Linked DNA regions of Caenorhabditis elegans. The protein of the gene in region 2 interacts with the protein of the main gene of each other region in a pairwise test. Each region holds a gene or a part of one and is shown on either strand. Other genes may lie near its edges. The genes, in order: mgrn-1, ubc-20 and nhl-1.

What was found.
Region 1: the proteins of ubc-20 (region 2) and mgrn-1 interact in a two-hybrid assay, tested with the Caenorhabditis elegans proteins (one study listed by BioGRID).
Region 3: the proteins of ubc-20 (region 2) and nhl-1 interact in a two-hybrid assay, tested with the Caenorhabditis elegans proteins (one study listed by BioGRID).

Annotation. Positions count from the first base shown.
Region 1 is NC_003284.9:14,309,870-14,313,624, forward strand, and holds the start of mgrn-1 (RING-type E3 ubiquitin transferase), read right to left. Parts: upstream 1,815-3,755; 5' UTR 1,801-1,814; coding exon 1,695-1,800; intron 1,617-1,694; exon of another isoform or gene 1,560-1,616; intron 1,436-1,559; coding exon 1,317-1,435; intron 1,157-1,316; coding exon 936-1,156; intron 889-935; coding exon 774-888; intron 700-773; coding exon 601-699; intron 550-600; coding exon 466-549; intron 189-465; coding exon 33-188; intron 1-32.
Region 2 is NC_003281.10:187,007-190,761, reverse strand, and holds the start of ubc-20 (UBC core domain-containing protein), read right to left. Parts: upstream 1,925-3,755; 5' UTR 1,922-1,924; coding exon 1,802-1,921; intron 1,750-1,801; coding exon 1,654-1,749; intron 1,587-1,653; coding exon 1,504-1,586; intron 1,448-1,503; coding exon 1,321-1,447; intron 361-1,320; coding exon 187-360; 3' UTR 1-186. Other genes in the region: mxl-2 (Max-like protein homolog 2), read left to right, coding at 2,638-2,829, 2,883-2,968, 3,347-3,512, 3,567-3,740.
Region 3 is NC_003281.10:9,152,153-9,155,907, forward strand, and holds the start of nhl-1 (RING finger protein nhl-1), read right to left. Parts: upstream 1,751-3,755; 5' UTR 1,653-1,750; coding exon 1,611-1,652; intron 1,178-1,610; coding exon 1,068-1,177; intron 1-1,067. Other genes in the region: Protein irld-34, read left to right, coding at 2,964-3,024, 3,416-3,519, 3,566-3,707.

The DNA.
Region 1 (3,755 bases), on a different chromosome or scaffold from region 2:
ATTTATTGTTTGACAACCCTAACAACAAAAACCTTGTATCGCAATGAATCAGCACAGTTACTACATACACATAAATGTCGACACGGGAGAATGACGGTATCACGGATATCTGATAAGCAGATAATGCACTCCAAACCACTGTCGTCATCCATTGTTTCAACTGACTTGTTTTCAATTCCGAAAATTTCCTGAAACGGTTAATTTGACAAATCTGGTTGTAATGCATTTTGAAATCATGTGGTTTTACAAAAATGAAGCTGGAAAATCATTTTAAATTCACAAATTTAACTCTACTCATGATTCACCGAAAAATAAGCGCAAATGCAATCAATCAAGAATAGAAACAGTGAGATCAGCGCCAAAGTTTGGAGAATTCCATTTTTTGGTACTTTTTCTCTCGCCTTGCATGTCTTTATTTTGTACAGAATTTTTAATTGGCTAATTCAAAATAATTCGAAATCATACCTGAAGAAGATATGTGACTCCATCACATGCAATTTTTTGTCGCAAAGGTTTCAACACCAACGCTTTACTGCTGTCGTTACCGGTCTGAAAGAATAACAAGATTTGTCGTTTTCCAACATTTTTACAGAAAAATACCTCAATTGTACACATTGTTGTTTGCATCTGAGTGCTCTCTACGCCTGACGTTGTTATGGAAATGACGAATGGATAGTATAGACCAGAAGAATATGAAAGCTGAAAATAGTAATTAAATTGTGTCTGTTTTGTTTCCAAATTTTTTCAAAAAGAATTCTCGAATATAGACTCACATCATTTGTATCCCATCGTGAGGTATCAAAAACATATCCTCCAAACACCTGATCAGCACCCGTTTCGAAATGAAAAGTTTCAGAGCTTTGTGGTCGGCGATTCCGGTATGCAAATCTGAAAAAAATCAACATTTCAATTACTAATTTACTTCAAAAACTTACTGAATTTCTCCATCGTGATACATTTCCTTTGCGTGAAAGTGTACTTGTATCACACAAGCACTGTCACAATCGAATACAAAAGTGAGTTGGTACAGGTTTGCATTCAACTCTCCGTTATCCTTTTTTACCCGTTGAAATTTAACAGATTCTTTTCGAATATTGACAAGAAGGTTGAGTGGTCTGATTTCATCGTTTCCCAACGGTCCAGGTGGATAAGGAAACTGCAAAAAAATTGTTTAAAAGATGAAGCCGAATTGAAAAGGTGCCGATTAGATTTCTTGAAGTTTTCTTCAGTTCAGTTATTAATTTTTATACTTTACGTTTTCATCATTTTTCCATATTGCTCCTCTATATTTCGAATCAATTTTTATCAAAACTTACACTCAGGGCTCTGGAGCCTAGTTGATCCAGATCGCTATTCTCTCCGAATAGGTAGGCCTCGGGTCGTGCCATTTCGAATTTGCAACCGCACATGAGAAAGTGTGATCCGAAGTACGATCCTGTAAGTTGAAGTATTAATAAAAAGCAATTTACAATTTTTCTTCATTTGTGATTTTAATTTGTATTTTTTGGATAAAAAGAATAGACGTTTTCAGACTAAAAACCGAAAGAGAAACATAGTATAACAAAAAAAAAATTTTAATCTGGTCCTATTGGAGAGTTCTATGCTTCATTTCAACCCATTTTATTAAAATTTTAAAATTTCTTCTAAGAAGGAAATATTCTTGACTAATGTAGCATATACTTTCTAAAACTCACCAGCTGCGTTGGAGAACGTTATCTGTGCTTCGGGGTCCTCATCATCGTGCGAGTTTCCCCGCTCGTGTGTGTTCCTCCCCCGGAACACACTGGCTATCTGACCCATAGTTTGGCCAATACCTGTGAATAAAAAATAATTTATTATTTTAGGAAGTTTTATAAATGCAAAAAAAGGAGTAGAGGAATTGTATTAGAATATTATTAAATGGAAATATGAAATAGCAATTGGTTGATATTATACTTCGAATCTCAGAATCACTAAAATGAAAACCAGAACTGCTTCTGCTTGATTTTTAACATACTTTTATGTTATTTGCAATGATTAAAAAATATATATAATACGCGAGAAATTTGAAACTGGTTTGGCTCGATAAAAAATTGGTGAGAAACCCAAAATATCGTGAAAGAAGCGGTGGAATTAAAATGATTTGAGAAAGTAAATTTTGATAATACGAATTATAATTCGAAAAAATGGTGGTACTTAAAATATAGCAAATAAAACAGGTGAGAAAAAGTTTTGAGGTTTTTACTATATTTTAATCAAACCGTTTGTTTTATTTATTTTCAGGCATCGAAATTTTATGTACTCAAGCTTATAGTAAAAATACAAATATTTGATATATTAAACAGAGATAAAACATAAATAACGAGCTCTAAAAAATTAGCATATTTTGGGAATTAAGAAAACCAGTGAAAGCCGTAAAAATGATCTGAAGCTATGAATAAGTTTGGTTAGAGACTCTATTTCTAGTAGATTACTTTATTATAATAATGAGCAGAAACAGATATTTTTTTAGCATTTTTTCACTTCATCATTAAATTAAAATCATTACAAAAAATCGATAGTCCTTGAGAAGAGAGACACCAATTTACAAGCAGGCAACAAACGAGAGAGAGCGTATTATCGTGTAAACGGTATATACGGGAGAAGAGTACGGGAGACCGACGGAAGAAAAGCAATGGGAGGTGTATAGGGTGGTGGCTGTGTTGTGCCTAGGAGGCAGGAAAATATAACGTTAAAAAGTGCAGACGCAGACACACCAATTGCCCCTCAGACTCCAATTCAGCTGTCTCCGTCTCTTCCTCGTCCTCATCGCACACCCTTAGACCGGTTGCTTAAAAGGAGGAGAAGCAAGTACGCAAGCATTACAAACGACGACATTACTGACCTCTTATAATTAAAGTAATAAATTGTGAAAATGTACACCGTTTTTTATGAATTGCATAAAGCGAATTTATTTATAAAAAGTTAATATATATAAAAGCTACATGTTCACTGATCTACAATTTTTGGTTTCAGATTTTTTTGAAATGTTGTTATCAACAGTCGAACTTTAAATTTTTCTTGAAAACTTGATACATAAATTAAAAATTGAACGATAACATTTGGCTAACTTTTTCCATGTTTGCCTTTGTGCAAAGGTTATCACTTGATTATTTATTTTTTTGAAATCTGGAGCAATAAAAAAAAATAGTAAGGATAGAGATAAATACAAACTGAAGCCCTTATGTTTATTACAAGTTATGACAATTTCAGTGTAGTTTTGAAAATATCAAGTATTGCAGTTAAATTTACAATGCCAAAAAATCTAAGAAACATTACGAAGTTTTCATGAAAATACCTCGAAAACTATGAAAATAGATCAAAGAATATCCTTAAATATGAAAGAATTCAGACTTCATTGGGTTTTGAAAAAAAATGGAAGGGAAAAGGAATCTGATTAAAATCAGTTTTTGGCATTGTAGAAGTATACTTCAATAAGTTTGTTTTCAATGATAGAGCTTAGTCAGTTAACATTCAAGTTAACTTGTAATTGTAACCTGGTAATAAAAAATCAAAAGATAAACAAAAAATATTGTGGAATTATCAAATACAACTAATCGGAAAAAGTTGATTTTGAGGCAAACATAGCTTCATCTGCTGTACATTATGAAAATTTTATTGAAGAGGAGTTAATGAAGTGGTACAAAACACGATGAAATGATAAAACATGAACAAAATCGAGTTGGTCACTATACACTAAACAGGACACGTAATAAGAAAAGTCAATAGGCACGGAG
Region 2 (3,755 bases):
TACTATTCTGATCGGTTTTTTTGGGGTGAGGATGGTACGAATTGGTAAAAAGAAATACCAGTGGTGCGGGGGGTTGGGGACGAAAATTTCTCGGAAAAAAATGGAAGAAATAAGGGATTTTTAGGACACAAACTTCAAGACAAGAGGCTCACAGAAAAAATTCAAAAAAATCGAATAAAAAAGAATTTAAGAGAAAATGTAGACCGTCGAGCGATTGATGTCCCAATTGTTGCAGCTGAGCACGCTGACAGCCTCTTCCTCACGGACTCCCATATCCTTGAGCTTGTCGACGAGAGCCTGGTATCCGGCGTTTTTCACGGCTCCCTTTGCGAATTTTGTCGTCCAGTACTCGGCGGTGGCCTGAAAAATGGTGGAAATTTAGTATATTAAGAGCATATTAGGCTATTATTCAGTTTATGTTGTCTATGTTTGTCTATTTTCTAGGCTACCTAAAGTTTTCAAGCGTGGAAATTGAGAAAATTCGAATGAAAACCAATTTTTTTTTTGAGATTTCTCGAGTTTTTACACTCACTGGAAACAACGAATTTTCGGGGAAATTCGAGTTTTTAGACTAAAAACAACTTCGCCAAATTTGTTGAGTTTTGGGTCTGCTAAACTTTTTTATAATTTCTTTTTGAAAAACAAATTTCGATATGAGCTGAAAAACTGATTTTTCTCGGCTTCTGGGACAAAAAGTGATGAATTTGAACGATTTCCTGGTTGAAAAACAAGAAAAAACCAGTAAATTCCGCGAAAAAAACTAAATTTAAAGGATAAATACGGGATTAGGGTCTGCTAAATATTTAGCAGACCATACTTGGGTCTGCTAATTATTTAGCAGACCATACTTGGGTCTGCTAATTATTTAGCAGACCATACTTGGGTCTGCTAAATATTTAGCAGACCATCGAAAACCACGTGGCGTTTCTACAAGCCTGCTAATTAGTTGGCAGACCCAAATTCTAAAGAAAATCGGCCAAATTCTGAAATTTCAGGGCAAAAATCAATAATTTTCCGAGAAAATCGTGCATTTCAGTGTAAAACAGTCAGAATTGTCTCCAAAATTCGGGAATTAACGAATTTTGCACGTTTCCCATCGAATTTTCTCAATTTTGACGCTTCAAAACTCGAGTTGGCCTGAAAAATGGGAAATTATAGATAATTTTTGGGGCAAAATACGCAAAAAAACACACAAAATAAGGGAAGATTTGGGTCTGCTAATTACTTAATTACTTAGCAGACCCATATTGATTTTTTAATCGGATTTCGCAATATTTTCCCCATTTTTCCGCGAATTTTCTGAATTTTCCACGCTGCTACCTTGAAAACTGCTGGCTTCTCCATGTATTGCTTGGCGACGACGGCATCTTGAGGATCCTTGGGCTCCGGTGTGCACATCAACGCCTGAATCGACAGGAGAACCGTGCGAAGAGTCAGCGAAGCGGCCCTGAAGTTGAAAATAAATTAAATTTTCCGATTTTAAAATAATAATCGCAATATTACCATTGATCCTTAAGAATATCGAGGCAAATGACGCCGGTCTGCGAGCTGACATTCGGGTGCCAGATTTTTGTGCTGAACTTGACCTGAAAAACCGCGATTTTTACACAAATTTCGACAATTTTCAAGCTTTCCAGGCAGAAAAACTCGTACATTTGGTGGCGAGAATGGATATTGGTCTGGAATCTTAATATCCAAATCGAACATTCCACCGGCGTATGGAGTGTCTGGTGGACCGCGGATGTGTCCCTGAAAACCGATAAAAATTGAGATTTCCGACACACAATTCGCGGCGTTTTACCTTGATTTCGGTGAGATTCTCGTTCAATATCTCGATCATAATTCCGGTTTCGCTGATTTCCGAGTTTGTGACGACCTCTTTGCATTCTCGTTGGAGTCTGTTGAATGCTATGTTCGACATGGTCTGAAAACGATGGAAAATAGTGGAAAAACTCTGAAAAATCGACGAAAATCATGAAGTTCAAGGAATTATCGAAAAAGCTTCGAGAAAGTCTGAAATTATCATCAAAATTATTCAAACACCAACTCATGATAAACAGGGCGCGCCGCGGAATTTCGGAGCATCGTTTGCAACTGAAATTTTTGTTTTTCCCCGAATTTCATCGATTTTTCATCGTTTTTCGTGAATAAAAATCAAAAATCATGTAGAAAAATGTTGAAAAACCAATTTTTATGCGAAAAATTGCTTAAATCACAGTAAAATTGAACAAAAACCCGGAAAAACCGGAGAAAACCGTGCGTTAAGTCGGAGCATCGTTGTCGCCGAGAAAAAACGGGTTCAAACGATCAAACCCGTGATCGGAAGTATCGATTCACAGATTGATTAAGTTTTTATAGGAATTTTAGTTTTTGCATCATGATTTTTCTCAAAAAAGAAAATTGAACGTTTTTGCCGAAATACTTCTAATTTTCTCAAGGTTTAGAGGGAATTTCCATTTGTTTATTGAGAAACCCGTTCAGAAAATATCTAGAATTGATTGAAATCTTCAAAAAAAATCTTGCCAGGGAACAATTAGGTCTGCTAATTAATCAGCAGACCCAAATTTCAAAAATCCGCGTTTTTCTTCGTTTTTTTCCCAATTACTCTACTGAAATTCTCTGTTTTTCAGCCCAAAAATGTCTCGAAGCCGTTCCGCAGCTGCCAGCTCCTCTCAAAAGCCGGACGATATGGACCTAATGTCGCCGGACGGCTCGGCGAGCTCCCCATCGGCCCCAAACACGCCAGCGACGAATTCCGGCGGATTTAGCTCGGATAGAAAGAAGGCGACGCACTTGAGGTGTGAACGGCAGCGAAGAGAAGCTATAAATGTTTGTTGAAGCTTGGAAATTCGTGGAAAAAAGCTAAAATTTCAACTTTTCAGAGCGGATACAGTGATTTAAAGGATTTAATTCCTCAGACAACGACTTCGCTGGGATGTAAAACTACAAACGCCGCGATTTTATTCAGGTACTGGCTGAAAATACTGAAAAATTGAAGGAAAAATAACTGGAAAACATAAAAATTTGGGTCTGCTAAATATTTAGCAGACCATAGTTGGGTCTGCTAAATAATTAGCAGACCATACTTGGGTCTGCTAAATAATTAGCAGACCATAGTTGGGTCTGCTAAATAATTAGCAGACCAACGTGGATTTAGCATACCCAAATTGCGAAATTATCGAATTTTGATGACAATTTCAAGTTTTTTACATTAAAAAGCACGATTTTTTTCAAGAATTTCGTGTTTTTCAGCGGGAAAAATCACAATTCCAGTCTGCTAAGCCCATTTTTTGCTTAAAAACCTTCAAAATTCTGCAAATTTCCCCGAAAATTCAATAATTTCCAGAGCCTGCGACTTCATGTCCCAACTGAAAACCGACATCTCCGACGCCGACAAGCAACTGGCCCAGCTCAACGCACAAGCGGCCGCACTGGAAATGATTGCCTCAGAGTACGAGCAGATGGCTTCTTCGGTTCCTGACGCCGGCCAGTCCACGATTCAAGTCAAAATGGTTAGAATTTACTGAAATTTCCAGATTTTTAAGTCGAAATTCTCCAACTTTCAGCTCCAACTTCTCCTCGACGACTGCTTCACCTCGTTCTCCTCCCAAGTGGACTTCACCACGTACGCAACGATCACCAGAACGCTCCTGTCGTGGGTGGAGAGCCTGGCGCCAAATGCGGAGCCATTCAAGTCGACAGCCGGAAAAATGGTCACAATGCCCTTCACTTCGCCATAGTATTGAGAAGAATTT
Region 3 (3,755 bases), 9.0 Mb from region 2:
CAGTTGAAATATTGTCATATGATTTCTAAGATTTCGAAAAAAATTCCAATCATCTATTGAATTGAAAAAAAAAATATTTGAAACGTTTCTTTTATCGCAGGAGGTATTTTTGTGAATTTTCAATGAGCACCGGGTTATAGCCCAAAAGCTAGAGCTTTTAATCTAAAAAATTGGCAAACTTATGATTAGGAAACTTCAATAAAAACGTTGAGTTTTGAAGATAATCGCCATTGAGAAAAAATGTTTAAAAACACTCCTAGTGGGCTAAAATACTACGCCAACTCTTCTTACTCGTCTTTCTCAAAAACAAAAAGATTTATAAAAAGTTAGCAAGATAAAACTTGAGAAATTAAACTTGAGAAGACAGAACAAGAAATGGCGAGTTGAAAAATATCATAGTATTACACCTTCTAAGCTTGAAAAACTTTACCCCTACGTTCACTAAATACAATGTTTGTCATGATTGTCTGAGGTCTCGTGCAAAGTTATTCAAATTTTTTACTTTTTTTTATTTTATTTTTGAGACTATAAGTGTATTATTCAAATATTTTACAAGAAAAGGTTCTCGTTTTTAAAATGGATGTTTACATTTGTTCATCTATAACAGATCAATGAAACATCTCTTTTTTTTAATGTTCCACTTTTTACTCTGACGTAGGTTAGTCTATATTTATTGACACAAACGTTGTTGATTTAACCCAAAAATGATCCTCATTTTTAAAAGATCCCTGCAGGATCTTAGATTGTTGATTTCTCCATAACGTTCTCCTAGCTAATCATCATAACAGTCTGTCTGATTTTATTATTGTTTTGATGCACAGTGCGTAAACAACCGGATGTTTATTATGCATCCCCTAAGTCTATCTCGTTTTTTCAAAAAAATTCCCCTCAGCCAAGCGGTACTTAGCCTAGGTCATATGATAACAGTGGTCAGTCAGAAGTCACACGGCCTATGTCTATCCTTGAACTACACACTAATAGTTTGTTTTGGTTGTCCGTGGTGCTTCTTCTTTCAATTTCGTCTGCTCACTTTCAAAACGAACAGCTGATTGAGATCACAGACTTACTTGTAGCGATCGAGACAAATCGGACACGTCAGCAACTGCTCGATCTTTTCGAGAGGATTCACAAAATCAGCTGGTCGACTCGATGGTGGACGTGACATCAGCTCGCGCATCTGAAAGAATCTATGGGTCATGTGGGTTAGAGATGATTGCACTAATCAACTAATCAATGTTGTACAGGGACTTAACTTTTTCTCAAAATCAGTGGAATAACTTTTCATTTAAAAAATAAAAACGTTACTTTAAAGTTGCAATGTCTATTTGAAATAAAGAAAATTTGTACAGCACCTATAGGGAGCTTAAACGAAATATAAAAATTTTGAAAATTGACAAAAATTTTAAATTTAAGTTTTAAAACTCAAAGGACCGTTATAGGGTTACCAATATTTTTAAGATAAAAAATTTCAATGAATGTCTCTAATAATTATTTTTTGTAGATGTTTAAAGTATATTTCATTTCCAGTTGTCCACAAAATTAATTTTTAAATGTTTGGAAAACGACGAATTTAAGATTTTCTTTAAAAAAATAAATTTTTTAGAACAAACCTTTTCGCGAGCTTCTGCTTCATTTTGTGGAGAACTGCTCATAAGGATTGAATTTTAGAAATATTGGAATTTCGAATTAAAAAAAAACAGGATAGAACGAGAAGACGAATCGAATATAATAATAAAGTGGGGTGTACTTGGAGAGTTGGGGATGAGTGTGCCGAGTGCTCCCGGGAGCCAAAAAAGATTTGAGACGCAGAGAAGTTGGAGAAAGATCTGGGGAGCAACAGACGAAAGACGCCCCCAGCCATCTCCTGCAAACACAGCGGCGGCCGATATCAATCGGTGTGCGTGGGGTGCGCGGATCGGATTTTGAAAAGTTCTTGGTTGAGTCTTTTACTGGTTTTTAGGCTTTGTTTGACTATTTACTCATAAGTTTTGAAACCGATGGGAATTTGAAAAAAAGATCAATAAGATATGAGGATATGAACGGCGGGAAGATGCAGCTGGTTTGTTGGTTCTCGAAGATTATGATAACTGTCCTGAACGTTGAAATATTTGAGAAGAAATTGACAAATTGAACTTCAGTATTTATTTTCAGAAGCTTGAAAGTGTAGATTAAAATTAGGATGTTTCTTTAAAACATAAAAATAGTCCGAAATTCAAAAAACCACAAAATAAAATCGAAAAATAAACCGCAGAAAAATGGAAATTCGAACTATTAAAACCGCGATTTTGAATTCCCTCCGAAATAAAAACTTTGACCAATCAGTGATTTGCTCCGCCCACTTTTCAACCAATCAGGACGATTGTGTAGAGTTTGAAGACGTTGAGTGGTTAGAAAATGGGCGTGGCTTATACTTTTGGAAGAAGTTTAAAAATGGAGAACAGTCACAATTGAAACTTGCCTTTTTGGTTTGTTCATTCTTTTTTATTTTTGTGGTATTTTCATAACACTTTGAGTATTTTTCTTTAAAGCACATTTTTTTAAACTTTTCAGGTAATTTGACGATTTGACAATTTCCCGAAATTCCTTTTTTTGTATTTAAAATCATGATTATTTGATTTTTCAAGCGTATGTATGTACTTATTTTGTCTTTTTTGTTGGTAAACTTTTGAAACTAATGATCATATAATTTGAATAAAATCTGAAAGTTCAGCATCCTGCTCTCTATAATTACGTAATCTTCAAAACTCCCACTAACCACCTTTCGACTATTTTTCATTAAAAAAAAACCAGCGAGTGCAGTAGCTAGAAGGCGTGCGAAATTCGCTGGTTACTATGACAATCGCTTTCCGGAGGGTGGGCGGAAATAATAAAAAATAAAGCAGTTTTTGAGTTGGTTAATCTAATCACAAGTTTTGTTTGTCTATCGTCTGGTTGCAACGAAAAAGAGTAACGCGCTGGAATTTATGCAATGGCCACTTATTGCCGCTCTTTTTACTCAGTTATATCACTTTGTAATTGGAGATGGTAAGTGAAAATGAAATAGTAAACATATTACTATTTTAGTTAGTTTTGGTTTAGAGACGAAATTTCGCAAAATGTTGGATAACAATTAAATTTATAAGAAATTACTACTCTCTTCTAACTGTCCAGCTTATCTCGGTTTTTTTTGGTTTTATCAAAAATTTGTTAATTGACAAAATACGCGCTAAATATTGATCTATATTCTGAAACAGTTTTTGAAACAGTTCACTTAAGAAATCCGAAATATGAGCCGTCAAAATAGAGAAATGATGGTGCAAGTCTAATAGGGAAAAAACTGCGTTTTAAATTTTATTTTCCAATTGCCAAATGCAAAAATCTTAAATATCATTCTAATCGGTAATACTTTTGATAACTTTGAATATATCATTTACAGATTGTTATTGCCCATTATGTGAGTTGGACAAATTACCCGACAACTGCACAACAATTCATGGACATATTCAAATGGGTCTCGAGTCAACAATGCCACCGTTTGAGGTTTTATTTATTCAAAACACTATAGGATTCCAATAATTTGTTTAAGATCGTTGAATACAAGCTGGAAAATGTCACAAAAATAGTTGGATGCATAACGATAGCCAACTCTGGTTTCACAAGTCTGTCACTTTTATCAAATTTGGAAATAGTTCAGTACTCACAAACTGGAAATTCTTCTACATGTTCCTGTATGTTCTTTTTGGAAATTTTGAAGACTTTGTAATTTCAATATTAAT